Linked DNA regions of Pelodiscus sinensis. The protein of the gene in region 1 binds, or shares a complex with, the protein of each later gene. Links are inferred from orthologs where the notes say so. Each region holds a gene or a part of one and is shown in the gene's direction. Other genes may lie near its edges. The genes, in order: KIF13B and ADAP1.

What was found.
Region 2: the proteins of KIF13B (region 1) and ADAP1 are in contact, whole or in part, in a crystal structure (PDB 3MDB), measured with the Homo sapiens proteins. The link is inferred for Pelodiscus sinensis from reciprocal best matches to the Homo sapiens genes KIF13B and ADAP1. Residues at the interface, in NP_056069.2 of Homo sapiens: Val451, Asn452, Leu453, Asn454, Ala455, Asp456, Pro457, Leu463, Arg512, Phe514, Asn516, Gly517, Arg531, Leu533, Asn536, Asn537, Phe539; in NP_006860.2 of Homo sapiens: Trp137, Asn143, Gly144, Gln145, Phe146, Leu147, Pro186, Ala187, Lys188, Ile189, Gly190, His191, Pro192, His193, Tyr211, Glu213.

The regions. Positions count from the first base shown.
Region 1 is NC_134713.1:4,381,946-4,398,130, forward strand, and holds the start of KIF13B (kinesin-like protein KIF13B), read left to right. Parts: upstream 1-7,470; 5' UTR 7,471-7,570; coding exon 7,571-7,625; intron 7,626-16,185. UniProt on the Homo sapiens protein: Involved in reorganization of the cortical cytoskeleton. Regulates axon formation by promoting the formation of extra axons. May be functionally important for the intracellular trafficking of MAGUKs and associated protein complexes.
Region 2 is NC_134726.1:26,491,098-26,507,053, reverse strand, and holds the start of ADAP1 (arf-GAP with dual PH domain-containing protein 1), read left to right. Parts: upstream 1-8,414; 5' UTR 8,415-8,786; coding exon 8,787-8,871; intron 8,872-15,956. UniProt on the Homo sapiens protein: GTPase-activating protein for the ADP ribosylation factor family. Binds phosphatidylinositol 3,4,5-trisphosphate (PtdInsP3) and inositol 1,3,4,5-tetrakisphosphate (InsP4). Regulates the incorporation of CD63 and CD9 into multivesicular bodies.

The DNA.
Region 1 (16,185 bases):
GAGTTAAGTTTTTACAGAAGGCTCTGTTGGGGCAAGTGGTGTTGTTTTGCCAACAGAAAAACTCCTCTGAGGCTATATCTACTCTGCAGGCTTTTGCCGGCAGAGAGTATGCTAATGAAGCACTCATTAGCATTTGTCGCACTGTCATTTGCATATCTCTGCCGATGCTTTTTGCTCAAAAACAAGCGGTGTAGATGGGTCCGTTTTGTGCAAAAAAAAAAACCTTTTGCACAAGATCCCTTAGGCCTCAAAAAGGAGGTATACAGATCTTGCACAAAAAGGGTTTTTTGTGCAAAATGGACCTACCTACACTGCTTGTTTTTGTGCAAAAAGCATAGGCAGAGTTATGCAAATGACAGCATAACAAATGCTAATGAGCACTTCATTAGCATACCTTCTGCCAGCAAAAGCCTGCAGTGTAGACATAAACTGAGTGTGGTCTGTATCTAAGCTAGGGGGCTGTGATGGCACAGCTATGTCAGCATAGACTTTGGAGTGTAGCTGAACTCTCGGCTTTCACGTAAAAAGTGTTTCAAGTCCTCAGGTTTGCGGAGAAAAGGCTGAACACATGATCTGAGCATGTCCTCCCAGCTCAGAAAGCAAAGGCACAAAAAAAGTCGCAAAATAGATCATGTGTTTGTTTATTTAGTTTTCTCTTTCATCTCATTGTTTTTAAGCCAGTCTCATGATTTTTTGACTGGGCTCCTGATGCTGCTACGCCTGAGGTTGGCGGTGCCCCCAGGATGAAGAATTTTGCACCGATGAGGCTAAGATTAATTTTCGCTGTGTTAGGAAATTGAGGAGGCAGCAACCCGCAGGCGACTACAGAGTTAGCAGAAGTTTGGATAAAATCTGGCTGATACAAGCGGAATGTGGACACATTTTATTCCTAGGTAAGTAACAGTTTCTTTATACACAAGTCTGTACAAACAAGTACCAGGCCACTTAACGCCAGGGATGCTGAGGTTTGACACATGCTGTGCACCTGGGTTTTCCTGGCCATGTCGGCCCTCGGGGTCATAAAGGAATCCCTTAGGGCAGCGTTTCTCACACTGGGGGTCCCAGCCCAAAAGGGAGTGTCAAGACAAGTGCAGGAAGGTCGTTCACGGAGTTTGGATTTTCCTGGCCATGATCTCTTCTTCAGTCCTCAGATCTCCATCCAGACGGACTTTGGAAATAGGACACCATGTCCATGACTTCTTCTGGCATTCAGAGCTGGGTGGCTGGAGTGGCAGCTGCTGTCAGTCACCCTGCCTGGCAAGCAGTGCCCCAGCCAGCAGCGGTGCAGAAGGCAAGGTGGCAACACCATAGCATGTTACACTTCCGTCTGCGCTGCTGCTGCTGGTACTAACTTCACAGCTGGGCTCCCGGTATCTCTGGCTGCCCAGCTTGGAAGGCAGAGATGCCACCACCAGCGGCACAGAAGGAAGGGTGGTAAGACCATGCTAAACCCCCTTCCTTCTGCACTGCTACTGGCAGCAGTGCTGCCATCTGAGCTGGGCACCTCACCAGAGGGCATGGCTCTGTGGCCACCCAGCTCAGAAGGCAGCAGCACAGAAGGAAAGGTGGCAACACGATCCCATTCCGGCCTCCATTCTGTGCTGCTGCTGGCGCTGGCACTGACTTCTGAGCTACGCTGATTATTTTCAGGAATAAGGGCATTGAGCAAGCGGGTTTTTCTTGCACAAGAAGGGGCCGTGTAGACAGCTCCTTCTGGCGCAAGAGCCTCTTCCGCAAAAATGGTGGCTCATTATATATCCAAATGAGGCTCGGTGATATTCCACGCTTAGCCTCATTTGCATAGCTCTGGAGCAAGATCGCGCCAGTGTAGACATAGCCCTAGTGTGATTTCTGAGCAATGCACGTGGAATCTAGCCCACAGCAACAGTGAAGACCAAGAGACAGCTACAGCATCGGCTGGGAGCCAGCTGGCTTTTAGCTCAGAGGGTAGCGGCTCCTATACTCCGCTGCAGAGGACCCAGGTTCAAATCTGCCTGGTTGTGGTTACCGATGCTCCCCCCAGAGCAGTGCCAATGCGGGTAAGAGGAGGTCTGGGATCAGCCAGGCTCAGTGAGGCCTTTGCCTTCTGGCTGGTTCACCAGTTGAATTCCAGATTCCCACAGCGTACCACACTGTGCAGTCCAGGGTCCCCACAAAATGAACGATCTGCATCTCCCCTCTGGTTCCTGGGAAGGGCTCAGGGTGTACCATGCCTCCCCAACAGAGGACAAATGGGTCTGGGCCCCCCTATGAAGTGGGTGGTTAGTGTGATGGCTGGGGCCCTCCCCTCTCCTGGGCACAGGGCCACAGGCCTGTCCCCACGATGCTCCAGCTGGTAGAGCAAAGGGGCTGTGGGCAAAGGCTGCTGGGGGCTCTCCTGCAGCCAGGAGGGATGATAGGAGTTATTATAGAGAACTTTCTGGGTGTCTGGCTGGTGAGTCTTGCCCACATGCTCAGGGTTTAGCTGATCGCCATATTTGGGGTCGGGAAGGAATTTTCCTCCAGGGTAGATTGGCAGAGGCCCTGGAGGTTTTTCGCCTTTCTCTGTAGCATGGGGTGCCGATCACAGCTGGAGGATTCTCTGCATCCTGGGGCCTTCAAAGTATTTCAAGGCTTCAATATCTGAGATAGAGGTGAGAGGATTGTTCTGGGAGGGGTGGGTGAGATTCTGTGGCCTGCACTGTGCAGGGGGTCAGACTAGATGATCATAATGGTCCCTTCTGACCTTAAAGTCTATGAGTCTATCTTCCTCTGCATCTCCTCAGGCCCAGCCTCACTCTCTGGTCGCTCTCTGGTCTCTCCCGCTCCGAGCTGGCTGGTGGGTCAGGGCAAAGTTGCAGCCCCTGGGCACCTGAGCGGGAGGACGTGGCTCCAGCTCGCTCAGTTCAGTGGCCAGGGATCAGCCTGCTCCTCCTGCCCGGGGATCTGGAAATCCGCTCGGTGCTCTCACCTGTCACGGGCTTGGTCTGTTGGCCTCTTCGCCCCTTGCTGCCGAGGTGTCCCGGGATGGCTCTTCTCAGGCTGCTGACCGGAGATCCTTCCTCCTGCCTCCTCAGTCCTCTTTAGCCAGGCTACTTCCCAGCCCTTTGATCCTCCCCGCTGCTGTCACCCATCAATCAGCTGTGGCCCGCGGTGCCTGGCTTAACCCTTTGGGTTCTGAGCTGGCCTGTGGGACTATACCCCACATGCAGGGTCCCTTTGAAACACCTCTTCCAGCTGGAGCAGGGAAGTGGGCAATGTTTCCTCTCATCCTTTCCATCCACGTGAATAGTTTTTATATCCATGTGTGGAATAATTTCTCTCTGCACCGAGGTAGGTGTGAATGTGCACCACCAGTTGGAACTAAACCTTGCTGTTGGTATTCTGCTAATCAGCCAGGCAGCGTTGGACTCTCCTGAGGGGCCACACAAGCACCCGGCTTACAGGGAACCCTGGCGGTGGGGCAGGACCCCAGTGTCCTAGGCCTGCTTTCTAACCCTTCTGGCCCCGTGGGGGGCTCTACACCTCAACAGGCACCTGGTGAGAGGGTGGGATGGAGCGGAACTGGCGCATCCCCTTGGCTGTGACGTCCTCCTGTTTCAAGAGAAGAAGGATCCGTCAGAGCCTTGGGTGCCCCCAGGAATCAGGGGGAATGCGCCCACCCCACGGTCCCTGCAGCTGCAGGTCCTACAGCCTGTCGGAGCCACCTGCCTACACCTGGGGTTAGGGGGCCGGAGTAAGAGGTCACCTACGTACAATCCAGGGAGGGGGATGGTGAATTAGAACCGGGCTCTGCGGCTCCTTACAGCCTTGGCTCTCACCTGGGACACTCTGGGCCTGGCACAGGAGTTGACGTGCTGTGGGGGAAGGGCAGGTTAGGATCAATGGACCCATGTCCAGGCCATGCCAGCGAGCCCCATCCCCATCCGCAGGGCTGAGCAATGGGGCTGCGGGTGGAATATCTGATTCCTGGATCTCACCAGGGGTTGGATGTGGGAGGGGTTGGAGGAGGAAGGGACCCGCATAGCTCTGCCCTGACCAAGGCTGGCCCACTGGGGCTCAGGCTAGGAGGACAGGCTGGGACAAGGCGTTCCAGTTTCCCCTTTCCAGTTCCCCCCAGTGCTGAGGTAAAACTGCCCCCACCCCTCCGGACCATGCTCACCTCCAAGCTGTATTGGAGCCTGTCTGTGTCTGGGGACTCTGCCCGCAGGGTCCCTGCCTGGGGTCTGACACGCCCTTGAGCGGAGCCTGCAAAGGAAGGGCAGCCGTGGGTCACAGCTGGGAACCCGAGAAAACGTCTCCCTGCCAATAGCTCCCTGCTCGGTGTGGCGAGGCCGCCCCGCCACTCCCGGAGCCGGCCGCAACACGGGCTCGCCCCGATCGCCGAGAGGCACGGTTCGGGACGGCCGGCAGGCGCCGCCCAGGGAAGCGGCGTCCGTCCAGCCCTGCGCGGGGTCTGACGCCACCCCCGCGACGGGGCCAGGCGGCGCGCACAGAGGACGTGGGGGGAGACGTCATCTCCCTGCTTCGGGCGGGAGATTTAAAACCCCGGCCACCCTTCCAGGGAGAGGGAGGCGAGCAGGGAGATCGGAAGACCCCCGAAGGGCCAGGGGGGACTGGATACTGCGCCCCTGGGTGAGGTAAAACCCCGGGGGCCAGCGAGGACGGATGAGGGACTTGGGAAAGAGGGAGAAGTGACCCAGGGCGGGGCCGCGGAACCCGAGAGCAGGGGAGTTTAGGGTTTGCAAACCCCCCCCGTTACTAGCTAGGATGAGCGTCCTGGCTTTAGGGCCCTGGGTCGGGGTCCGGAGTGGGGGCGGGCCCGGACCCCCTCCCTCTCACCCTTTCCCAAAAGGGTGGTCATTGGGGCCACGGTCGCGTTGTGCGGGATAGGCATAGCGCGGCAAGCATAGCCGGATTAAAAGCCTTTGATTAGAAAGCCTAGCGTGTCCGGCGTCAAACCGGTAAGGAAGGGGGAAGCCCCCCCTTCTCCCCCCTTTCCCTGGGGCTGATGCATAACACTCGGCCAATCAGCATTGAGACTCTGGGCAATGGAAGGTGGGAGGGGGCGTTCTTAGCAGACGTCCCAAAGGATGGCCCAGGTCACCGCCAGAGGGGAGCAATCTCAGAGCAATTCCAATCTCACCTCTCTGGGAGGGCCAATCACAAAGCCATAAGGGGGTGTCTCTGAGGTTGCCCCCACCTTGCCCCTCTGTCCTGCCTGGCTGATGTCAGGGTCTCCGGGTGAGGTCACCACCTCCCCATCACCTTTCCCCAAATGGTGGAGGCGCTGAGACAGGCCTTTGTGATGTCACTGCCACCCACCCCACCCCTACCAAGGCTGGTGTCCTGTGCCCAGCATGGAAAACTCAAACTTTACCAGTCTCCCTGAAAGATTCACTGGTACCTTGCTGGTACCCAAATGGAGAATTTTTCTAAACAAGTAGGACTAGTAAAAAAGAGCATATAGGAAGCACTTTATAACGTGCACGTTTCCTGGTGCTGGGAGGGAGTGAAGATGAGGTGATAAAGCATTGGAATACAGTGATTAAAATGTAAATTGTTATATTAATTGTTATAATCATCATCATTTGCATTTTCATAGTGAGTAGACACTCTATTCATGAACTGGGACTGGTGCTAGTCCCTGTACCAAAACGACAGCCCTTGCTTTAAAGAGCTTACAATCTCGTGTAAAACATGAGATGACAGAAGGATATAGACATACGTGGGAGTACAAGTAAACAGCAAGACAACAGTGGTTAGCATAAGAGGCAGTGGTTTCTGAGGAGCAACTGCCTAACCATTGCCATGTTTTTAGGCATTACAACAAAGAGGAATAGGGAAGGGTGATTTGAGGTGGATGACAAGGTAGCCACATACTGCAGCTGTGGATTTCTAGTTTGATGTGGTTACCATCATTATTCAGCAAAATAAACAGAGGGAAAGTGATTAGTCTGAAAGCAGGTGTATAGTGTCAACACACCACACCACCTTCCCCTTCTAGTGCTGGGGAAAGTATTCAGCAGTTCTGACCTCTGAGTGAGATGCCCCCTAATGAATTAAAACACATTTTTTATTTAACACCATTATAAATGCTGGAGGCAAAATAAGGTTTGGGGGGGAAGTTGACAGCTTGCGACCTCCCCACGTAATAACCCCGTGACCATCTGAGGTGTACCCTTCTAACACCCAGTTTGAGAACCCCTAAACCCCTGGTGTCCAACCAGTTCTGAAGTAGTAGCCACTATAGTGGCTACTACTATGGCAAACTAGCCACACTCAACCAGCAAAATAGCCACATTGTTCACATCAACTAATCACACTCACATGGCCAAATAGCCACACGTGGCTAGTGGCTAGAGTGTTGGACACCAGGGCCCCAGCCTAGATGCTCTGTGTTTTCCAGAGCCTGGAACAGAACACTGTCTATTTAAGTATGTGCTAATAAGGCTTTTTCTGTCTAAGAAGAAATACAAAAACGTCTATCCCTGCCTTTTTCCCCCCATCATAGCCTGTAGGCAAAAGAGCTTGAATAATTTAGAGGGTTTATTGTTTATTGCTTGATGGAAGTGGGAGTGTTGCATGTGTGGGAAAAGCGAATTGAGGGAAAGATAGGCGGAAGACATCTGCGTTTAATTCAGAAAGGGGTTTTGTTCTGAGGCCTCAGACCTGCGCTTCCCCCAGAACCAGGCACTGATACAGCTGGTCGTAAATGCAGTCCCTGAGTTACGAACGTTATCCGCGCTTACGAACAGTGCGGTCGCCATGTAACTCAATGAGGTCCGAGTTACAAACACCACTTTGAGTTACGGCCAAGTGTTTGGTCCGTAACTCGTTCGTAACTCGGGGAGAGGGTGTATTATCCATTGACCATGAAGAAGGGTGACTTTCATTCTCCGCATTATAGATGGGGAACGGAAGAGGGGTCCTGGTGCCCCAATTCCTTCAGTCCTGCTCCCGCTAAGGGACCTTCTCCTACCTGTTGTATCACCCTCGCTCAGTGTAGCTCAACTTTTTTTTAATACATTTTTATACATTTTTTTTAAAAAAATATAAGTACCCCCAGTAGGGATAGTTTTCAGACACACGAATTTTTTTTCTACCATTGCAACATGTTTGTTTAAACAACTTCATCGTAGCCAGGCGGGCGATGACATTTTTGGGGGTAAAACGTACAAAAATAATAAAAGGCGGTAAAACGTAAAACAAAAATGGAGTTTTCTCCCCCCCCCCCAGACTTCTCTCGGGTACCCCTAAGGCTACTGGCCCCCTGGCTGAGAAACGCTGCCCTAGCTCACAGCTGGGCCGCCTCCACGTGCTCCCCGCCACTGGACGGGCATCCCCGCCTGCATCCCAAGGGAACTACATGTCCCGACATGCCACGCGCCACAGGCCGGGACTACGTCTCCCAGCATGCCCCGCGCGGCCCCCGCGTGGCGTGCTGGGGAGGGGAGTCCCGCGGGGCGGTCCCTCAGGCAGGGCGTCCCGGAGCTCCGCCCTCCGCGTGGCCGGCCCCGCCCCCTGGCCTGCCGGCGGGGTGTCCCGTGCCCGCGGCGGAGGACGGAAGCCGAGCGGGCCGGCGGGCGGGATGGGGGACTCCAAAGTGAAGGTGGCGGTGCGGGTCCGCCCCATGAACAGGAGAGGTGAGTGCGGCCCCGCCCCCCCGGGGAGACACTGCCCCCCCGCCCCCCCCCCCCGCGCCTGGGGGAGAGACACTGCCCCCCCCGCCCCTCTCCGGGGGGAGACACTGCCCCCCCCGCCCCCCCCCGCCTCTGGGGAGACACTGCCCCCCTCACCCCCCCCGCGCCTGGGGGAGACACTGCCCCCCTCACCCCCCCCCCGCGCCTGGGGGAGACACTGCCCCCCTCACCCCCCCCCCGCGCCTGGGGGAGACACTGCCCCCCCTCACCCCTCTCCGGGGGGAGACACTGCCCCACTGCCCGCCCCCCCCACCTCTGGGGAGACACTGCCCCCCTCACCCCCCCCCGCGCCTGGGGGAGACACTGCCCCCCTCACCCCCCCCCGCGCCTGGGGGAGACACTGCCCCCCTCACCCCCCCCGCGCCTGGGGGAGAGACACTGCCCCCCCTCGCCCCCCTCCGCGCCTGGGGGAGACACTGCCCCCCCTCACCCCCCCCCGCGCCTGGGGGAGACACTGCCCCCCTCACCCCCCCCGCGCCTGGGGGAGAGACACTGCCCCCCTCACCCCCCCGCGCCTGGGGGAGAGACACTGCCCCCTTCCCCCCCCGCGCCTGGGGGAGAGACTGCCCCACTGCCCCCCCACCCCTCTCTGGGGGAGAGACTGCCCCACTGCCCCCCCACCCCTCTCTGGGGGAGAGACTGCCCCACTGCCCCCCCGCCCCTCTCTGGGGGGAGACACTGCCCCACTGCCTGCCCCCCGCTCGTCTCTGGGGGGAGACACTGCCCCCCCGCCCTTCTCTGGGGGAGAGATTGCCCCACTGCTCCTCTCTGGGGGGAGACACTGCCCCACTACCCCCCCCTGCCCTTCTTCAGGGGGAGACACTGCCCCCCCTGCCCTTCTCCGGGGGGAGACACTGCCCCACTGGCCCCTCCCCGCTCCTCTTTGGGGGGAGACACTGCCCCACTGGCCCCTCCCCGCTCCTCTCTGGGGGGAGACACTGCCCCACTGGCCCCCATGCTCCTTTCCAGGGTGGAGACGAGCGACACTTCCCAACTGGACCACCCCTCCTTTCTGCGGGGGAGGGGGAATGAGTGATTGACTAGACCTCCCACCCCTCCCCCCAACCTCCCCTCCCTTGATGAGGGGAGAGAGACACTGACTACCCAATACCTCCCAAACAACTCCCTTGGTGAGGGGGGAGAGGTAGCATCTGACTGACACCCCCAGTACCCTCCCTTCTTTCATGGAAGGTGGAGAGACAGTGACTGATTGACACCCCTTGAGGGGAGCAGGAGACCTTCCTCCGGCCACCCTCCGGGAAAGGAAATGCTGATCAACACCGTCCCCCTCCCACACATACACCTCTCGCTGGTGGGAGTGGGGGACACGGATTGACACCCCGCAACAAATACCACTTGCTGGGGTTGAAGAGAAGCCCACCTACCCCACTATTCACTGAAGGGCTGGTGAGCGTCAGAGACGGTGGCATGAGCCCCTCCCCTCACTGTGTGGTGGGGGGGGGGAGGGATTTACCACCCTTTTCCACCATGGAGGCTGGTAGCAGGTAGTACCAAAATGAGGGAGGAACAGACACTGCTGCTGTGGAGAGTGAGTAGGCTCAAGCTGCCTCCACACAGAGGAGTTACTCATAATTCTCTCTGATTCATTCATTCCCTCCCTTTTACCACCCCACATTTCCCTCCTTTATGAGTCTCCCTTCATAATCTTTCCCCCTTCTCTCTTTTTCCTGTCTCCATATAATCCCTTCCGCCCCGCGCCCCTTGCACCCATTTTACAATGGGGCTCCTTCCTTGTCTCTTCACTTCCTTCCCAATTTCCTCTCCTCTCATTCTCTCCCCCCCTTCAGCTTTTCCTTCCACCAAATGACTCACATATTCAGCCAACCCTGCATGTGAACGTGACCCCAAGTGCCCCAAACCCAGGGACTATGAGGGTAAAAGCAGCTGGAACATGAAGTGTGAACTGACAGAGGATTTTTTTAAAATAAAACTTGCCTAGATATTGTATATTAATTACAGTCAGTGTATTTTTCTTTTATGTGACTGTGTTTTTTAAAATCAGAAAAGGACAGATACTGCAGCTGGTAGAGAAACAAGTGCACAAAAGGAAATGGATAATTTAAAAAAGCTCAGGCAATTAAGGACAAATATAGATACACACCCAATTAGTATCTCACTACAACATCTCTGATGCTCCTGAAACTCTCTGTAATGAACAATGAGGTAATGCCAAGTTTGTGTAAATGACAGTTGTCCCTTGTAATGTTGCAGTTGAGGGATGTGTACACAGCCTTGAAGTCTGATTGTTTAGGGATCATCTTCTGGTAACACTTAGACCTCAAGGCAAGGGATTGATTTTTAAAAACCCATGTTGTAATTTGTATTTAATTTTAATAACATTGGTATGACTCTTGAGAAGTTTTTGGTTGTGAAACAAGAAATAGTCTGAATTCCGTTGTGTGTTACAGCGTATGACCCCATAATAAGAGACTTTACAATATAAACCTGTGTTGACTGACTGTAGATACTTAACCTTTGAAATATTATTGATGTATGCACCTATTGTTATCTTTGGCCTGTAAATTTCCTCAGGGCTGGGAACTTTCTGCTGTAGCCCTATAAATTGGCATGCAAATCAGCTACAGATTGAAACTCTGTAATCGAGCACACTCTGGTCGGACATCCGTAGTCCAGCATAATTTTAGGTAGTCAGATGTTCTCTTATCATGGCTGTGGCCAAGTTTCCCGCGGTCCCATAAAGTTCACTTATAGCGACCAGACTTGACTCTGTGTTCTGTGCTGTTGTTTAGCTCTAATTTACCCCAATTGTCTTCTAAGAACCCAGTAAGTGGAAATGTTGATAACGCTGCTAATATTGACCTTCCATGGTCTGGCAAATTCTCTGGTTTGGCATCAGTCAGGTCTGGAGGATGCTGGACTAGAAAGGTTCAACCTGTGCTTACACTTTTAGGCATTGAATAAATAAGTAGTAATAGCTTCTCTGCAGAAGAAGAAGAAGGCTCTATGTGCTGAATACCATTTTACCTACGGTACTAGTAGTCCAGTCCAATTTGTTGAAAGTAAGAAAAAGGATTCTTGTGCTAACTTGTATGTTAATGCCTTCTTTTCAAAAGAAGGAATTTTCCTGAGTGTCCTGCTGTGTTCCCAAGAACTTTTTCCATCCATGAGCAGAATAAATTTTGTTATGTACAGAGGCATGTGCAGATGTGCACCACTGGTCAAATGTATGCTGTTGACCCTGGGCGCTCTGCTAATCTGCTGGGCGACATTTGAAACTCACCTTGGTGGCCCAAGCTATCAGCTCAGAGGAAACACTGGTGTCCCTGCTGTACATTTCCCACTATTATACAGTGTGCTGTATACCAACTTTTTGTTGCCATGCACTTTAGAGGTGGTTGCATTTCCACGATGTTATGAATATATTGTTTCTGAATTGTTCTGGATGGAAGGCATTACAGACAAACAACTGATGTATCTGAGAGTTGTTACTCTCCATTATCCTTTTAAAAGTGAATAGTTACAGTATATTTAACTCCCATAGTGTAAACAATAATACATTTGTGGCTCGCTCTGGAAAACTATGCAGTGACACACAGATAAAGCATGTGGTTCTAGGTTGTTTCAGCTTGCTTAAAATACAATTGCATAACCGAGAAATGTTTGTAACACCTTGGGTGTGCTTAGCATTTACTCTGAAAGAGAAACAGTAATCCTGAGTAAGGCTCATATTTTGTCACAGATATTTACACTAAAAATCACAGACAGGTCTCTGGAAATAAACAAAAAATCACAGAAGCCTATAACATGTCTGTGATTTTTTTACTAAAATATGCCAGACAAAATGAGGAGGAAGGGGAGGGTCTAGTACCCACAGGTACTAGGGGTTATGGGCCTTGCCCACCATGGCTGGGCTGCTATGGGAGGGCTTGGAGCTCTGAGATCCCTGTGCTATGTAGTGGCTAGGAGCTGAGAGCTGCTGGGCTGCCTGCCGACAGCTCCAGCCTGGGGCACAAGATGGCACGGATTCCATAACTTCCGTGACCTCCCTGACTTAATCATAGCCTTAACTCTGAGCAGTCACAGCTGAGTCAAATGTGTGTACTGCAAAGGAAAATAATGTGTTAAATAAAGTAAATGTGCTCTTAAGCAATGTTACCTCTAATTTTTTCCATCCACTGTGTGGAATACATTTTATGTGCACCAAAGCACGTACAGATGTGCACCACCAGAGGACACTCATGCTGCCAGCTGTGGGCGCTCTGCAAATCAGCGGGGTGGCATTTGAATCTCTCCTGGGTGTCCACCCAAGTGCTCAATTTACAGAGAACACTGCTCTTAAGCCTAGTTTTTATGAGATTACCTTGATGTTTGAGCTTGATGTTTACTTGATCCATTTGAGGTCAACACGTGATCAGCTATAGTCTTCAGCGTAAACACTGTTAAAACTGGTTTCTGGTTGTCTGCGGGAGAGTAAACACCATTGCTTTAAGATTTGAGTGTAATTTTTAAGCAGCCTTCATAGTTTGCAAAAAGTAGTCAGCAGATTACTATATCCTGGTAATAGTCTACCTTCGCTGAAACAAGTGGCAGCTGATTGACTGCTTGGCTCGAATCTGGAGCTTTACCAAACCTGTGAAGAATGGAGCCCTAGACGGCCTGAGCATTGATTGACCTTCCTTGGTCTGGGACATATCAGGTCCTGAGGGTGCCACATCAGGGAGATTCAGCCTCTATGGCAAAATGCATATATATAGTGCCTGCATAAAAAGACAGTCTCCGAATAATTTGGCTTTAAGACTAACCTCTTTAGTTTGGATACCATGCTGATGGGAAGTATGGAAAATCTTAAACTAGGTAAATACTAAACTCTTCTTTCTTACTTAGATGAAATGCTAAAATAAAACAGGATTCCATCTAGAGATGTAAAATCCCCCTTTAAATGTTAACTGGTTAAACTATATGTTTAACCGGTTAACTGGTTCGCCATGTGGCGTCATGGGCTGAGGGCTGCTGGATCGACCCCTTCCGTGTAGCTCGGTGTGGTGGGTCTGGCCAGGCTGGAGCAGCCCCCCCACCTATCATGTGCCACAGGTGGGGAGCTGTCCTGGCCAGGCACTGGCTAACTAGTTACCCCAGTATAGTTATGGTTAACCCTATTACGGTTAACTAGTTACCCCAGTAAGTATGCTGGCAGTGCTTACTGGGTAACCAGTTAACCCTTTACATTCCTCATTCCATGATAGCACATTGTATTTACCTATTGTAAATAAACCAGAATTCAGGTCATATGAATGTGATCTACTTGAAAGCTAAATTCCAGCTACCTTTTTTAGCATTAAAATGTGGCTATCATATAGGACTACCTTCAAGGTAGGTTAGATAGTCACCTAAATGCACATAATTTCACCTTCCAGTACTCTGAATGATGTGTAATTGTTTCTTGAGGCTCTGAGATGAACCAGTCATTGCTAACGTATGCCAATCAGTTTGCATGATCTCCAGAATAGAGGGTGGCTTTACAATATCTTTAACAATCAACAGACAGCATGTACAGTATAGGGTAACACTGCTGTCAGGGAGTTTTCCTTCCTTTTTCCTGAGGAGATGTGGTTTTGAGGAACTGTCCCATCTTGCTTACAAGCTTGCTGAATGTACTTCTCAAACTGATCTTGCTCAGTTTCGCTGAGACCCTGAGTGGCTGGAGAGCCCCAGAAGGAAGCACTTCATTGCCCTTTAATCACATGGGCTAGAGAAGGACAATTGGCTCCACACAGACTTCCTCTTCAAGGCTGGATTGAGCCGAGATAATTTTTTGCTCCATTTTGTGCTTTGCACTAGAAATGCAACCGATTTATTAATTGTGAGGATTAAGTTGCTTGTGAGGAATGAGCTGCTTATTAAAAATTGTGGACTGCAATTACTAGCCAGCCAGGCCAAGAAAATGTGACATGTCACAACTGCGGAGCACGAGTATGAACTTCGTTAAACTGACAGTACTTATAATAACAATAGGCAAGCTGACTGTCAGTGCATGAAGGAAGAAGTCTGTATTAGAGGAGTTTCCAAAATGTGCCCGGTAGATCTTTCAGACCAAAACTACTATTTTGCTCTTTACTGCTGCTTCAGTGCATTAGAAGGAACAATTATGTGGTTGGGTTACTTTAGATTAATTGCAACGATCATCCTACAAACAAATAAAACCTAGTCCTATCACCCGCACACCATGACTTTCTGTTTTGTGCTTATTCATAGTAGGGATGTGAAGGACTAGTTGACTATCCGATAAGCAAACGCTTATCGGATAGTCGACAGAATAGTCGACTAGTCACTCCCCTCCCCACCTTGCTCCCTCTATCAGATAGAGACAGCAAGGTGGGGGAAGCGGAGGGGTACTTCAAAGCGGCAGTTCTGGGTGGAGCTTTGGGGTCAGACTCTGGGCTCCACATGCCGCTGCAACTTTGAAACGCTGCGTGTAGCTCGGGTGACCCCAGGCTGCATGCGGCATTTCAAAGCAGCAGCGCTGTGTGGAGCCCAGGATCAGCTGGGGACTCCCCTGCTGACCCTGGGCTCCATGGGACGCTGCTGCTTTGAAATGCCACAGGGAGCCCAGCATCAGGCTCCTCGCAGTGTTTCAGAGTGGCAGTGCTGCACGGAGCCCGGGGTCACCGGGGGAAGTCCCCATCTGACCCTGGGCTCCACGCGGCGCTTTTGCCTTTGAAATGCAGTAACAGCGGTATTGGGGGTGACGGCGCACAGGGGAGGCTTGCATGTAACTGTGAAGGTTAACTGATGAGCCCAGGTTTTTTCTTATTTTTTGGTGATAAAAATACAAATTTATTCATTGAGGGGGGAAAAATGGAAGGAACATGATACTGCGTTATTTTTGCAGTATCCAGAAGTGTTCTAGGTGCTTCACAGAATAACTTGAAACAAATGATTCTTGCCTCAAAGAGTTTACAGTCTACATTTGCGATGTTTTGCAAAGAGGGAAGGTGACACAAAGGGAGTGGAAGTAGCAGTTAGTCATGGTTAGTTTAGCCATGAACGTGTCTTGATTGTGCAACTAAGGGTTTTTAACACACAAGTGAGTGTATTCTGTTCAGGTTCTTATTCAGTTTTATCATAGTATCTGAACATCATTTGGAAGTGATTTAAGCAATATGATTGGTATCTGTCATGAATACATAAATAATTAATATTAGTTGCTCACTTTAGGCCTTGTAAAAGTGGATTTTCAAGATATAGTATCATCATATTGCTCCCATTTCACCCTATCACAGCTCTACCTGTTGGTGAGTCTTCTTTCACTTCTACCAAAACCTGGTTCAGTACTGGAGGAGAGTATTCCCACACGCTAAACGTTTTATTACCCACACCATTCGGCCTGCTACTTCCAGAGGGTGTCTGTCACCCTGCTTGTCTAGAAGTGCACCTCTCTAAGTTTATCTGTGCCCACAAGTTTTACATTAAAGTGTTTCTAGCAGTTGATCTTGATTCTGCGGGTGTCTCAGTGCAGGCAACTTGCATGACATCTGTAACTGGAAGCTCACCTTGTACTAGGGCCAGCCTGCCCCCGATGAGGGGTGTGGAACTGCTGCAGCAGCAAAGGGAGCTGCCAAAGTGGTACCGTGGTAATGGATATTTCCCTGGAAGAAGTCTCCTATTGCCTTCGATAAGACTGTAACTCCATTTTTGCTTGGAAAAGAATAAGTGCTGTTAAATCAGAATAAATCAGCCACACTAGAATATCTCTGGCACTGAGGTTTAATAATATGTCTGTTTTATTGTGTGGCTAGTGAGGAGCTTGGTAGCTAGAGGAAGTGATGGCATAGAACAGTGGTCTCCAACCTTTTGAACCACAAGATCACTTGTCAGTTTAAGTGCAATGTAAGATCTACCTCAAACCCAAATTCCCTTGCCTGGCTTCCTTCCTGTCCCTTCTCTGTGGCTCTGCCCCTGCTCCACACCTTCTCCAAGGCCTCACTCTGCTCTCTCCACCCCCCCTTCATCCCTGAACCTCATTCACTTTCATCAGGCTGGGTAGGGGTTGGGGTGCAGGCTCCGGTTTTGGGCCAAAGGGTTCAGTGTGTGGGTGGGGCTCTGGGCTTAGCCCAGAGTGGGGGATTGAGGTCCAGGAGGGGTTTAAAGGTGCAAGCTCTGGGAAGGAGTTTGGGTGCAGGGGGACTCACGTCTGGGGCAGGAAGTTGGGTGCAGGAGGAGGTTCGGGGCTGGGACAGGGGTTTAGGAAGCAGGCTCTGGCTGGGCACCATTTAACTGAGATGGCTTTCGGGTGGTGGAGCAGTGGGGTTAAGGCAGCTTACTCCTGCCTTGGCCCTGCACCACTCCTGAAAGCAACTGGCATGTATAGCAATGGCTCCATGGTGCCATTATCTACAGGTACTGAGCCCACAGCTTCTACTGGCCACAGTTCCCCATTACTCATCAATGGGAGCTGCAGGAGTGGTGTCTGCAGGGAAGGGCAGCATGTGAGAGTGACAGAGATTTGCATTGCCAAGCTCCC
Region 2 (15,956 bases), on another chromosome or scaffold:
ACTGGGCAAGATGGACCTTTGGTCTGACCCAGTATGGCCATAGTTATGTTTTTATATTCACCCTTTGTCTACGGATGGAATTTAATAATTCAAGAAACAAGCACATCTTAAAAAGAGAACCTCCTGAGGTTTTATATGTTTAACAGGGATACCACAAGTTTTTGATTCACAAGTTTTGGAGGGGTAGCTGTGTTAGTCTATAACTGGAAAAAAACAACAACAGATAGTCTTGCAGCACCTTCGAGACTAACAAAAAATGTAGATGAGCGTTTGTGGGCACAACCCACTTCATCGGATAAATGGAGTCTAAGGGGTTGGTCCAGTTTTCAAATAAATAGTACAGAGAGGAAATGGGGGGAAGAGGAAGAAAAAAGGGGAAAGAAATTGTCAATTAGAGTGTCCATGCTAAATGAAGCTGATAAGAATACTTAGTACCCACTTTAAGTACCCTTTGTTTGTTTTGTATGTCATTAGGAAGTGGAATGTAGTGGGCCATTCAGCCAATGTCTTTGTTTAGACTTCTGTTGCAGGAATCAAACTTATAAATGAAATTCAGTTCTGTAGTTTCCCTGTGGAGCTGGCTTTTGAAATTGATTTGAAATAATACAGTGGCTCTGAGATCCATTAATGAGTGCCGAGGCAAGTTAAAATGTTCCCCAACAGGATCTGTGTGTTGCCTTTTCAGATATCTGATTTGTGTCCATTAATTCTTTCTCGTACAGACTGTCCAGTTTGGCCAGTATATATGGCAGAGGGACACTTGATGGCATAGATCACATTGGTGTATGTACAGTTATATGTAGTGGTTTAAGTGGTTAGGTCCTGTGATGATGTCGCCTGTATTGATGTGTGTATAAAGTTGGTACCGGGGTGGGTTCCTGGATAAGTACAATGGAGGCGTGCTGCGTGGTTATTAGATTCTTCTTTAGGTTAGGAGGTAGTCTCTAGGCAAGGATTGGCCTGTACCCCAAGCTCTGTGAGAGTGAGGGGTTATTTTCCCGGATAGGCTGTGGATTGTTGATAATGTGCTGGGGGTTTAAGTTGGGGGCTGTAGGTGATAACAAGTGGTGTCCTATTGTTTTCTTTGTTGGGCCTATCTTGAAGTAGCTGACATCTGGGTACTTGTCTGGCTCTGTCAATCCATTTTTTCACTTCTCCGGATGGGTATTTCAGTTTTAAGAATGCTTTCTATAAATCCTGAAGGTGCTTATCTCTGTCTGTGGGATTGGAGCAAATCCAGTTGTATCTTAGGGCCTGACTGTAAACAATTGATTGGAAAATGTGTCTTGGATAGAAGCTGGAGGCACGAAGGTAAGTGTAACAGTTGGAAGGTTTCTGGTATAAGATGGTGGCAATGTGGCCATCATATAATTGTACTATAATGTCAAGGAAGTGGATCTCTCGTGTGGACTGCTCCAGGCTAAGGTTGATGGTGGGGTGGAAGTTGTTGAAATTCCTGTGAAATTCTTCAAGGGTCTCCTTCCCATGGGTCCATATGATGAAATGTCATCAGTGTAGCATAAGTAGAATAAGGCTGTTAGGGGGCGAGAGCTGAGAAAACATTGTTCCAAGTCAGCCATAAAGATATTGGCATTTTGCGGGGCCATGCAAGTACTCATAGCTGTGCTGCTGACTTAAAGATATAAATTGTCTCCAAACTGGAAATAGTTGTGGGTGAGGACAAAGTCACAGAGCTCTGTAACCAGGTGTGCAGTGGCGTTAGCAGGGATAGTGTTCCGGACAGCCAGTAAATCCATCTTTGTGTGGAATGTTGGTGTAAAGAGCTTCTATGTCCATGATGGCCACGATGGTGTTTTCAGTCCTCATGAAGTTGGTGGTGTCTTGAAGGAACCTACGTGTGCTTGCAGCATAGGGTCTGAGGAGAGAGTCAATATAACCAGATTACCCTTCTGTAAATGTGCCAATACTTGAGATGATGGGTCATCCGGGATTTCCAGGTTTGGGTATCTTGGGTAGCAGATAAAAAACTCCTGGTTGGGGATTTGGGGGGGAGGAGGAGGTTTGTGTAGATTTGGTCCTGAGTTGTAGCAAGGAGCTTCTGGAGCAGTTGGTTTAGGGTTTTTTGGTATTCTTTAATGGGATCAGAAGAGAAGTCTGTAGAATCTGCTAGGGTATGTCTACACTACAACACTATTTTGAAATAACTAGCACTATTCCGAAATAACTTAGTCCATGTCTACACAGCAGGCAATTATTTTGAAATAGTGTCAAAATATTATCAAGCTGGAGGACTTCTTACTCTGACTCCTGTAACCCTCATTGTGTGAGGAGTAAGGGAAGTCGGTGGAAGAGTGCTCTATTTTAAAATAAGTGCTGTGTAGATGCTCCCTATTGCGAAATATGCTATTTCAAAATAAGATATGCAATTGATATAGCTCAATTTGTGTAGCTTATTTCGAGTTAAGCCCTTCAGTGTAGATGCACCCCTATTGATTCAGTTAGGATCAGTGGGAGGAACTGCTTTTATCCATTGGCTGATAAGGAAAACTGCTGTGGGGAGGAATGCCTGTCTTCTGCTCATCAGGAAGCTAACAATGTCCTTTCCAGAGGGCACAAAATTCCAGACACTTTTCCTTCTATCTAATTACTCTCTGCCTGAATTATGGATATTTCAGTTTGGGTTTGCTATACATGCAAACTGTTTACTTGTGTAATGGAGTGAATACTCTTTAGAATCACATACCAGCTTTGAGTATAATAACTTTCTACTTGCATAATCATAGTCTACATTGGCATGATCTCGCGCAAGAACTCTTTTGCGGATGAGTTCTTGTGCAAAAACTCTTCCAGAAGAGAGCGTCTACACTGGTATATGCCTTTACGCAAGAGACGTGCTTTTGCACAAGAGCATCTGTGTCAGTGTAGATGCTCTCTTGCGCAAGAAAGCTCTGATGGCCATTTTAACCATAAGGCTTTCTTGCACAAGAAATTCATGTTGCCTGTTTACACTGGCCTCTTGCGCAAAAACAGTTGCGCAAGAGGGCTTCTTCCTGAGTGGAAGCGTCAGAGTTCTTGCACAAGAAGCACTGATTTCATACATTAGAACGTCAGTGTACTTGCGCAAGAACTCGTGGCCAGTATAGACAGGCAGTAAGTTTTTGCGCAAAAGCATCCACTTTTGCGCAAGATCACACCAATGTAGACACAGCCATGGTGTTGATTTAGTCAGTGTAGGATCGGGGCCTTGGAGATTCTCTCTGTCTTTTCCAGTTATTATTGCTAATTTATTCTCTTTGTTTCAGCTAATCCTCTTAGATTCCCCACTTTACACATGTTCTAAATAATTCTCAATAACAGACCGATGGATTTTTATTTTGTAAAACAACTGCTCTTGGCTCTCACCGGGGCAGCTATGAAGAGATTTTTATGTCCAGTAATGCCTGAAAATAGACTTTCATCATGGAAAATGTTGACACAGCTGTAACTGTTTAACAGTGCAAGCTGACTCCTCCATAATAAAAAGAAAGCAGCTGAAATCCCTGAGAAGAAATAGCTGATGCTGGGGAGGAAAAGATGGCTTTTTTGGTCGTTTTGGTCCGGTATTTTCAGTGTCAGCCAAAAATTCCTATGCTACTTACAGAATTTCTCAGGCTACACTGCACCTCTCTTGCTCAAAAGCCTATGCAAATGAAGCATGGATTAGCATATTGCTGCACTCCATTTGCATAATTAATTAGGGGCCTTTTTTTGCTCAAGAGGTTTTTGTGCAAAAAGGAGCTGTGTGGACTGCTCCTTTTTGCGCAAAACCCCTCTCTTGCACAAGAGCCATTCTTCCTGAAAAAATGAGGGGCATTATTCATTTAAAAGAACGGTCTGACTAAAAACACAGACTGGCAACACAAAGACAGAAATACCATCAGTGTGAGAGCAGCATTGCCCTGAAGCCTGTGAGAAATTTGCAGGTGACTTCATGAGCAGATTTCCCAAGCTGGTACGCTCTCTGGCACAAGTGACTCATGGTAACACCTAGGAGGTGCACTGCCCCTCTATGCCCCTGCTAAAATTTTAATTGCAAAATAGGGTGCCCCCAGATGCTACCTCCCCATTTGGTTGTAACACCTCTCCCTACAAGCACCAGTCATCCCTGCTCTCTGGGCTGATCTTACACTTGTTGAAGTCATTGGAAAGGCTCTCACTCATCTTAAACATCTTTGGCTCAAAACCACAGGCAGCAGGATAGCAGGGCCTTCTCTTGCATGTGCATTTAGATCGCTCCTTATCTGTAAAGGTCATTGTGACTCAGGCCAGTAGATGACTGTCTTTGCCGTGAGGGACCTTGCTCTATGGAACTTGCTCCTCCCAGCACCCACCATAGATCACTCCTCCCCACATCTGCTGTTCGTGCTGTCACATTCTGTGCGGCAGGAGTAGCTCCTCCGAAAGCCATGGCACAAAAGGGCCAGATCCTTGGCTGCTGTCAATCAGCATAGCATTGTTGACGTTTACGAAGCTATTCTGATTGACTAAGGTTCTGCATCTGGCATAAATGAGGAGTACATAACTCTGCTGAAATCTATGGCATTAAGACAGCACAAATCAGGACTGAGGCCATGGAGTTATGCTAGTGTAGAATTGGTATAAGTGAAAAAGGATCAGGACCCTTTATTTCCAAAGCATTTTTACTAAGACTGCTTTGAGTCCCATATGACTTCAGCCCATCTCCTGCATCCTCTTCTTATGCTGGGCCCTTGTCCTCTCTCCTCACATGCACTTTTTGTTCTCCTCATTTAAACTTTGCAGTGGGGTTTTTACTACAAAGGGTTTCTTGCATTGTGGTAGGCTCTGCACTAACAATTATGTTATTATTAGATTTAAATAATGACAATTGCTCTCAGCCTTATCAGTCTTCCACACCCTTCATCCCCTCTTTCCTTTATGTGAGAGCTTGTTCTGATCATCTCCTACAGTCCCTGTTATATTTGATTTTATTACAAGATATAAATTTCTTTCCGCAGCCCTGGCACACAGCGTATAGAGAGGAATTGCCTAGCAACCAGAAGAACAAAAAATTAAGAGAATCAATAAGCCTCGATGGAAAGCTAAACAGGGACTTTAAAACAAAATCTTTTTTGTTGTTGTTTCTCCTCTGGTAATGACTTGCAATATCTCAGCTGCAGCATGAAGAGTTCATTGTGTGCAATGGATGCTTTTGGGGGCAAGAATGGCCAAGGGATTGGTCTACATCAAAATAAAAGAATGGATGAAAACCCGGCAACTGGATGTGGATTTGCATAATGCCTTCAGCCTGTAAACACACATATGAGTAATCTGAGTATTGACTTTAATGGAACTATTCACAGATGTGAGTATTTGCAGGGATGGGGCTAAGAATCTGTCTCAGGACAGTTCTGTTGTCATTTATGCTTGCATAAATCCAGATTAACTCCACTGAAGACAGTGGGTTTATTCCAGATTTATACCAGCATAACTAGGAAAAAAAGGTTCAGGGGGGTAGCTAAGTTAGTCTGTAACTAGAAAAAAGTTTAAAAACCGACACAAAGGCTCAGTGTTAAGGGGGTGACAGACTGACCTACAAGCAGGAAGCCTGATTCTGTAGATAATCCTACTATTGATTTTATCTGCACTACTTAACAGGAATGAGAGCTGCAAGATTGGATTTTTGGTTAGCATGATAGCTGTTTTTTTTCAAAACTAGATGGAAAAAGCAAGTTGTAATACAGAGGGTTGGCTCATGATGTCAATTTTCAGACATTAATGCAGTTAAACTTATCAGTCAAAATGGCAAGAAATTAAAGAAAATATTTTCCAAATTAAGGAGGAGTCCCATTGAAATCAAAGGTGCTACTTACAGGAGTGAAGTTTTAAACATGTGATTAAGTGATTGAAGCATCATGGTCATAATTTGGATTTAGTGGTGATTTTCTATTGGGTTATTTGAGTCCTGATTCTGAAAACATACTTGTTTACAAACATACATGCTTTACTTTAGGTGGAAGTCAAGTCAATAGGACTCCTCATCATAAAGTCAAACAGATAAGTAAGCTTTTCCAGGGTGAAAGCTTTGATTTTTTTATTTTTTTAGGGGATGGAGTATGAACAAATGGATCCACATCACAAAACCAAAAAGGGTTCCATAACCAAACTGAAATGCTAGGAATCAAAAATTACTTTGGCACAGTCATTTCTAGGCTATATATGATCTAGGAGCAACTGATTAACAGTTGAAAAGGAAGGATGAGCCAGTATTTAGCATGTTCACATAAGAAGTGGGAGACCTGGGTTTCTCCACAGCTGTGATGGGCAACGTAGGCTTGTCATAACCAAAACAGTCTCCCAGGATAGGGTAGTTTTGCTAACTGTGCTTGTGTACCTAGAATTTGCAGGGTGTGTGGATTGAACTGTAGCAACACTTTGATTGGATGCAGAGGGAACATATACTGTACCTCTTACAATCAGTGTTGTGTGTGATCAGTATGCACCTCACTTCACATGCCCTTGCTTTTCACATGTATGTCACTTTAGTAATACTGATAGGAAAAAAACTATGCAGACAGAAACTAGTGGAATTTGGAAACCCTGCACATGGGCTACACATAGAACCCTGATGGACCACATGTGGGCCTTGGGCCACAGATTGCCCATCACTATTCCACAGGCTTCCTAAGTGACCTTTGGTAAATCATTTAGGCCAGTGGTCTCCAACCTTTTTAAGCATGAGATCACTTATTGAATTTACGTGCAATCCAGGATCTACCTCAAACCCAAACACCCTTGACCAACCTCCATCCTGCCCCTGCTCACTCCATCCTCCCTCTCCCATCCTCACTCTATCAGGCTGGGGGCAGGAGTTTGGGGGGCAGGAGGAGTTCAGGACTGGGGCCAGGGTTCAGAATGCAGGCTCCAGCTGGGCACCGCTTACCACAGGTGGCTTCAGGGTGGTAGTGCAGGGGACCAAGGCAGGCTCATCCCCACCTTGTCCCTGCACCACTCCCAAAAGCAGCCAGCAAACTCTTATAGAATCATAGGGCTGGAAGAGACCTCAAGAGGTCATTGAGTCCAGCCCCCTGCCCAAAGCAGGACCAATCCCAACTAAATCATCCCAGCCAGGGCTTTGTCAAGCTGAGACTTAAAAACCTCTAGTGATGGAGATTCCACCAAACTCTCCATCTCTGCCTCCCCTCTGCTCTGTGGAGATGAGGTACAGGGTGGAGGGAGGGGCACCCTGACATCAGCACTCCCCCTTCCTCTTCTTCCTGTGCCCTGCACAGCAAACAGAAGGTTCCCAGGGGTGAGGGGCACCTCCAAGGCAGAGGGCAGGAGCAGCAGGGCACTGAGGGGCAGATGAAGTGCCAGCACTTGATAGGCTTTGGGCCAAACCTCTCAGGATCACCTGTCAAAGGTTCCAAGATCTACCAGTAGACCCTGATCTACTGGTTGGTGACCGCTGACTTAGACCTTTTTCTCCACAAGTATGTGTACACTACAGAGAGCAACTTTAGCTACATTAATTGCATAGCTGAAGTGGAAGCAGCTTAACTAGGTTTTTGGTGCTGTCTACACTGCAGGAAGTAGAAGAGAGAACACTTTTCCTTTGACTTCCCTTATTCCTTGTGAAAGCAGGGTTATGGCATCAACCTGGAATGCCCCTCTTGCTTCAAATTAGCTGTGTTAACTAGACCACTAATTGGAACCCTGTAAGATCGACAGGCAGCTTCGATCTTCCTCTGTATGGCTGTGTCCAGACTCAGGGTTTTTTTCGAAAAAAGTAGCCTTTTTTCGAAAAAACTTCACCTGCGTCTAGACTGCAGCCGTGTTCTTTTGAAATTAAATCGAAAGAACGCGGCTTTTCTTTCGACGGCGGTAAACCTAATTCCACGACGAAGAACGCCTTTTTTCGAAAGTGCTCTTTCGAAAAAAGGCATTCTTGAAAGCAAACAGGGCTTTTTAGAAAGAAAGCATCCAGACTCGCTGCTTTCTTTCGAAAAAGCAGCTTGCTTTTTCGAAAGTTCCGCGTGCTGTCTAGATGCTCTCTTTCGAAAGAGGCTTGCAGTCTAAACATAGCCTATGACAGATGTACCCCACCAGTACAGGAGGGATTATAACTTTTCTCTACCTCACAAGGGCGTTGTGGGGTAAATAGGTAAAGATTGGCAGGTGCTGGGATGTTGAGAACCAGGTAAGCACCTTGGCTAGATTGGCAAAGTGCTTTGAGACCTGTGCAGGGAAAGCGCCATTGCATTTTTTTTAAGGCTGATTTGTGTTTAAGGGGCTTAAGCCTCAGTCAGCAGAGGTCTCCGGGAAGCGGGCTACTCCTCTCCGCAGGCTCGGGGGCAAAAGGTGGGAGCAAGGTGACAGAGTGTCTCGTTGAGTGTTCCCCGCCCCTCCGCGCCACTCGCGCAGCCAGGGGGCTCCGTGGTGCTCGCCTGCAGGAGGGCGGGCTCGCCACTGGAGGTCGCGGGCGGACAAGGCTGGCCGGGAGTGGGCCACGCTCGGGCTCCGGTGCAAGGCAGAACCTTCCCCGCTGCCGCGGGAGGAATGCGGAACCAGCCCCGCGCAATCAGCTGCGGCGGCGGCGGCTGCCGGGGCAGGAGGCTGCTCAGAGCCCAGTGAGGAGGATGCGGGAGAAGGAGCCCTAAGCGCCCGGCGGCTGCCCAGGGGTCCTACTTACCCAGCGGAGCCGGGGCCAGATGAAGCAGCCCCCGGCGGCGAGGTAGCCTCTCCAGCGCCCCCAGCCCCATGAAGCGCATCTAGCGGAGGAGGAGAAGAGAAGCCAGAGCCGAGCCCGTCTCACTCGCACCGGCCCCATGGCGAAGGAGAAGCCCAAGAAGGCTTTGCAGGAGCTGCTCCAGAGACCGGGCAACCAGCTGTGCGCGGACTGCTCTGCCCCCGGTAAGGGCTGGGGCTCGGAGCCGGGGGGTCGCAGCGCTGCAGGACTGGAGCCAGCGCCGGAGTGAGCGGGGCAGGGACGGAGCATGCAGCCGGGCACCGGAATCTCTGGGCAGGCGCCGCCCTGGGGTCCAGGGCGGCACCTGCTCCTTTCCGCTAGCTGCCCGGGCAGGGTGGAGTCCGGTCCAAGTTTGCCTCGGCCAGGAGAGCCCCGCTTGCTGGGCGCTTGGCTGCGGCGAGCTCTGCCCCAGCCTGCAAGCCCTAGCCGGGCTGTTGCAAAACTGCGGGCTCTGGAGAAAGAGGAAACCGGCCGCGTGGGCACGGGGGTTCCCAGCCCCGGGGCAGGAGGAAGGTCTCCCCGGTGCTCAGCGCGGGGGTACCCCCGGCGGCACTTCCAAGGAGCGGGGCGATTCAAGCGTGGCCGCAGGCGAGGGGCGTGTCCCCGATCCGGCAGCTGGCCGGCCGCGCCGTGCTCGGGGGCCAGGAAAGAGAGGGTGCCCCGCTCCTTCGCACGGGGGTACCTCGCTGCCCCAGCGCTCTAGGGCTGACTTGGGAATGCTGATGTCATCCCCGGCCGCTCCAGCCGGGCTGTGTGCGCGAGCTGCAGTGCAGAGCGAGCCCTGCGCCCAGATGACAATGACACCTTGTTAATTTGCAAGGGTGGGCAGGCGGGGCGGAGGACAGGTGGCAGGGGCGAGGTCTGCAGGCCTAGGGCCGGGCGAGCTGGCCCTTGTCGGCCTGGCTGCTCTGCCTGCCCCTCCCTGCTCCTGTCCTTGTGCTCGCCCTGCAAACTGTGTGTGGCTTTTGTCGCCACCCCTGCTTGGCAGCCAAGGTTCCCTTCTCGGTAAATCAACAGACCTGGCGCACCCGGCGCCTTGCTGTGCCACTTCCTGCCAGCCAACCTTTGGCCACCGGCAGGCCTTTGCTGGAGACTTTGCCCCTGTCTTCCTGAGGCATAACTACCGATCATGAAATAATCAGGGGTGCTCCTTGCTGGGTGGTTGGGGTGGCGGGAGTTTCTGAGCCAGACACACACCCTTCCTTGTCCTTTGAATAGAGAAGTCACTGGGGACTGAGCAATTTGAATGCCCACTGAGAGCAGGGAAGCTCAGGTCTGTGTCTGTAAGTGTCTGCTCAGATCCCTCCGGGGAAAGCCCTGTACAGTTTAATAGAAAATAACCTTCCCGGGAGGGAGAGATAGCAAATAATATCCCTCTTGCAGTATTTGGTAGGTTGGCTTTAAAATATCAAACCTGCAGAAGGGCCATCTTAAGAATTACATTCTATAGGTTTTAGGACTTCTGCAGAATATTATTACCTTTCTATGGCACTTTGATGTCAATAGGACTCTACCAGCTGGGAAGGATCATTAGTTGAGGGTTTGTGTCCCTAATCTATATTGAAGATAAACTGGGATCTGCCAAGGATATTTTCAGTCACCTTGTACCTGGTTAGTGATGCCTAAGAATGCACTACTACCCAGTGTGCGTTGCTTTTCTGGCTGGTCGAACTCCACCTAGTTACTGCCATCTCTTACTATATAATCTTATTAACCCACCTTTTCAGTACTTGGCTGCACACAGCTTGGATCTGACTGCAGTTGGAATCTTCCTAAACTGTTTTTCCCCCCCAGAAGGAGCATTTACAGTCCAGGGCTGTTCAGATCAATAGAACACCTCTTACAGCATGTGTAATACGAAGCCCACCCAATAAAACAGGGAGCACCTACCCGGCATCAGCATGATTAAAATGAAACTTTGGCTCAGCAAAATCGTTTGTGTTGTGGTTAGATTGTTAAGGACTCCAAATGCAGGTTTTAAAGCTAGGAAGCCAAGGTCTGCAGTTGATCACATCTGGGTATAGAGATGTGTTCGGTGGGCCTGCGCCTTGTAAGCGAGCAAAATTTGGGTCAGTGTCTTGTGATGCAAGAGAAACTATTACTGTAGTTCATCTCCTTTTCTGCATGGTCTAACTGCTCTGTTTTCTCCTGCATTGTTCCCCAGTGCTAAAGCTCCATTTCTTTCTTGACCATTCTGCTCCAATTTTTTTAACCAATTATGCCCAGCTCTAGACTAGATATGCACGGTAACTGCACTGTAGTATATGCCGCTGACTGCGGTTCAGTAACTGCAAACCAGTATGCCTGTGCATGCTATGGGTTACTTAGGACAATTAAAGACAAGACACAGTCACACAGTGTGCATATGTGTTACATATAAAATCAGTGGACTAAATCTGGTTATTTGCTTTGGTGTAGGGGAAAGTAGGATTAAGTTTTCCAATCTAGGGCAAGGCAAAGAGCAGCTACGTGACCCTTGACTTTCACTGCCCTATGCTACATCCGGTTAAATAGCAATTGGTGTATTTCCCAGTAGCTCCAGTCATGACAGTTTCTCCTCTTTACAGGCTGCAGGGACACGCATGTCAGCCTAACCTTCCCTTCTCATCCTGTGTCCCACTTAGTTCAGGAATGAAGCTACATGCAGACCACAGGTTTTCCACCTGTGGTCCTGACCCATGTCTTAAGATTTCCAAAGGGGGCTGCATCTCAATTTAAAATGTAGAGGTCTGCAAATGAAAAAACAGGCTGAAAACTACTGGCCTAGTCCTAGGGAGTCTTCAGTGGAGAATTACTTTCCTTTTATCCTTTGGTATATATGGTTGTGACTATTTTCTTCCACTATTTGATCTGAGGAAGTGGGTCTGGCCCACGAAAGCTCATCATCTAATAAACCATCTTGTTAGTCTTTAAAGTGCTACATAGTCCTGTATTTTACTTTCCTTTTAGTGAGAGAGGTGGGGGAGAGAGAACACAACAACAAAACAGAAATAGGGAAGGAAAAAAAGAAAGAAGACAGGATGAGAATGGGAGAAAAGAGGTGAGAAAACAAACAAGACTGGAAGACTGGTGCCAATTGGCAGATGGTGCATGGGGACAGAGACACTAGGCATCCCTCTGCCAGTCCAGTGCAATCGGGGATTTGGAGAAACTGAAGGCTGGTGTTCTGCAGTATGGAGTGTATGTTTCTCTCACTAAAATACAAGGGATAATTCATGAGCCAATGAGAATCAGCAACAAGATGCAGTTATTTAGCTAAGGGATTCTTACAATGGGGTAAATAATAGAGCTGTTTGGAAAAACAAAACAAAATAGCTACTGTTTTCAAATGATTTTCATTCCATTTGTGCAGAAAGTGGCTGACTCTTCACTTTCTGAAATTTTCCTCAGAATCTTTTTTTTAAAGAAATTGGTGATTTTTTGAATGTTACATTTTTGCCATTTTGTGAAAAAACTCTCCCTTATCGTTGATTTTGTGTTGCAGTAGCATCCCAGAACCCTCCTGGTGCTAGGTGCTTTACAAACGCTGAACAAAGAGATGCCTCCTGCCGAAGAGTTTGCAATCTAACCTCTCCTCCTGACTAAGTTGTACAACTTGAGGCTATATCTACACTGCAGGCTTCTTGTGCAAGAAGCTTTTCGGAAAAGCAATGCGCTTTTGCGCAAGAGAGTGTCCAGACTGCATGGAAACTCTCTCGCAAGAAAGCTCTGATTGTCATTAACAGAATGGCCACCAGGGCACCTGTGCTTGTTTTGATAGGCTGTTTTTGAGCAAAACCCCCCTGCTGCCCATCCCCCCCACCTTTTCGCGCAAAAACTCTTGCGCAAAAAGGACTTATTCCTCGTAGAAAGAGGAATACCTATACCACAAAAACCACTCTTTTCTGTCAATTCTCTGTAAATTTTCTTGTGCAAAAATGCGCTTGAGGTGTGAACACTCTGTGAGTTTTTGTGCAAAAACTTTGTAGTGTAAACGTAACCTAACAGTGCAGTGAAAAAATCAGCCCACAGAATAGTACATGAGCAAACAAAACTAATTTGAAATAAGTACCTTTCTTCCCAGGCTGCACTTCCCATTTCTCCCCTTATCCCTGCCCCTCCAGCCGCTTTCTCTGACTGCTTAAATTAACTGCCCCTTCCAAGCCTTATGGCACATTAGAGATCAAAACCCAAAGACAGGAAAACAAAAGAGAAAACTATTTTTTCTCTTGCAGTTTTTGAAGAGCATATTTTTTTTTTAAAAAAAGGTTTTAGTAAAAATCTAATTTTTTTTGTAGAAGTTTTTTTTCCAGAAAGAGACATTTTGACTAAGTGCTTTCTGTCCAAGAATTCCAACCTGCTGTAGTGAACAATAAGAGCACATTATCCAAGTCTTTGAGGCTGAATTACAATGCACAAACCATTGTAATAAAATGTACAGGCAGTCCCTGAGTTACGCGGATCCGACTTATGTCGGATCCCCAGTTACGAACGGGGTTTGCTGCCCGTCTCCCTGGTCTGCTGGAGACCAGCAGACCAGGGAGATGGGGAGCAAAGCCTCTGAGGACGCTGGCAGCGGGACAGCCGTGGCGCGTCTGGGCTGTCCGCTGCCCGCGTGCTCCGCGGCTTTGCTCCCCGTCTCCCTTTGCTCCCCGTCTCCCTGCTGGTCTCCAGCAGACCAGGGAGATGCGGAGCAAAGCCTCGGAGGACCCGGGTGGCGGGACCGTGGTGCATCTTGGTCCGCCGCCCGCTGCCCGCGTCTCCCTGGTCTGCTGGGGAGGGGGGGAAGGCGCAGCTAGTACGCCCACATCCCCCCCCCAACAGACCAGGCTTTTCTCCGGACACCTGTGGTAGAGCAGCTGGGGCGCTGCCGGTTGGTCCCGCAGCGCCGCTCTGGGTGCTACTGGACCAACCCGGCAGCACCCCAGCTGCTCTGCCCCAGGCGTCCTGATTCAGCCGCTGCTGGTCAGTTTCAGCAGCGGCTGAATCAGGACGCCTGGGGCAGAGAAGCTGGGGTGCTGGTGGGTTGGTCCAGTAGCGCCGAGGAGCGGCGCTACTGGAGCAACCCAGCAGCACCCCAGCTGCTCTGCCCCAGGTGTCCCCAAGTCAGCCGCTGCTGAAACTGACCAGCGCTGACTACAGGAAGCCCGAGGCAGAGTTGCTCTGCCCCGGGCTTCCTGGAATCAGCCGCTGATCAGTTTCAGCAGCAGCTGACTTGGGGACGCCTGGGGTTCTTAAGTTGAATCTGTATGTAAGTCGGAACTGGCGTCCAGATTCAGCCTGTTGAAACTGATCAGAGGCTGATTCCAGGAAGCCCGGGGCAGAGCAACTCTGCCTCTGGCTTCCTGTAGTCAGCCGCTGGTCAGTTTCAGCAGCGGCTGAATCTGGACGCCAGTTCCGACTTACATACAGATTCAACTTAAGAACAAACCTACAGTCCCTATCTTGTACGTAACCCGGGGACTGCCTGTACTTGGAACGCAGGGCCCTGAATCTCACACACTGCAGGACTCTTTGTTGGATTGCATCTCTCATTGGGTGGAAGCCAGGTTGCAACAAGTCTATTTCACTGGAACAAGGTGTTTGTCATCAGGGAAGGCAGCACGGATTATACAGGTCTGATGGCACAGTGAATAATCTCTCCTAATGGCTGCTGTTCAAGCAATGTCTTACCGTAGACTCATAGAATACTAGGACTGGAAGGGACCTCGAGAGGTCATCGAGTCCAGTCCCCTGCCCTCATGGCAGGACCAAATACTGTCTAGACCATTCCTGATAGACATGCATCTGACTAAGTGGAACTTTGCCCATGAAAGCTTATGCTCCAACACTTCTGTTAGTCTATAAGGTGCCACAGGACTCTTAGCCGCTTTTGCAGATTCAGACTAACACGGCTACCCCGCTGATATTTATCTAACCTACTCTTAAATATCTCCAGAGATGGAGATTCCACAACCTCCCTGGGCAATTTATTCCAGTGTTTGACGACCCTGACAGTTAGGAACTTTTTCCTATTGTCCTACCTAAACTTCCTTTGCTGCAGTCTTCTAGCATGTTCTTTTTCTTTAAGACTAATATGGCAATGCAATTGGTTTTAAACCATTATTTGTCTTAAGAAATATTTTTGCACATTGTGAGATGGATGGTTGTCTGGGGGCACAACAAGGCTTTGTGTGTGTCTCTTCACTTGTGCTCTGCCAGTCAGTGGACATCCTCTTTCTGTTTGCAGGTATCTGCATCTGTGAATGCGGATAACTGCGAACCATTTTTGCAGATGCAGATATCAATTTTGTCTCCACGGGAGGGGTCTCTTCATATTCCATTCTAACTGTCCTTGGCCTCTGTTTGTCAGAGGCTGGAGAGGGATGGCAGGAGACAAATCGCTTGATCGTTGTCTTTGGTCCACCCTCTCTGGGGCACCTGGTGCTGGCCACTGTCGGTAGACAGGATACTGGGCTAGATGGACCTTTGGTCTGACCCAGTACGGCCGTTCTTATGTTCTTATGACTCAGTTTAGGGTTACCTTTCTACTGGTTCAAAATCTTTTTACTTTGATTTGGGGAGGAAGAAACTTAGCCATGCAGGCAGAAGTGCAAATGTCACTTCAGTAGTGCTGAGGCTCAGACCTCGTCCTGTTTATTGGATCTATCCCATTCATCATTAATTTTCTGTAATGTGCTCTTATCTTTCCCACTTGACTGGGGTTGTCTGTATGCTGCCATGCATGGGAACTATTGAAAAAAATGCACAAATGCGTAACTTCCACTTAGATCTATATGAATTTCATCTAACAGGATGCGTGTTTGTGGGAAGGAAGATGAGCAGTGAGGCCAGAAATGAAGGATAGCAAGGTCAGGACCATGTTGTTATAGGACCTGACCCTATAAGGTGCTAAGCTTTCTGGAGTTGAGGGTATTTAGTATCTTGCTGCACTAGGCCACTCAGAAAGTCCAAGGGTTAAGGAGAGAGCTTAGAGTTGGGGGCTAGTATAACTGTAGTTTCCACCTATCCAGGAACTGGGGCATCTTCCTGTACTTAAAATGTTGCTCCTGTTAGGCAGGGCCATTTAAGGCTATAAACACATGACATAAAGTTGGTGGTTGGAGGAAAAGATAAAGAAGTGGAAGAACCCCTTTTCCCCTTGTTTTGGGAGAAGGAAGGCATTGAAAGAGGTGGGCAGTGGTGAAGAGGAGTTAAGATGGATCAAAAGGAGCTAGCGGGCAGAGGTGGAGGAGGAAAGGGTTCTCACTGAAGTTGTGTTTTGCTTATG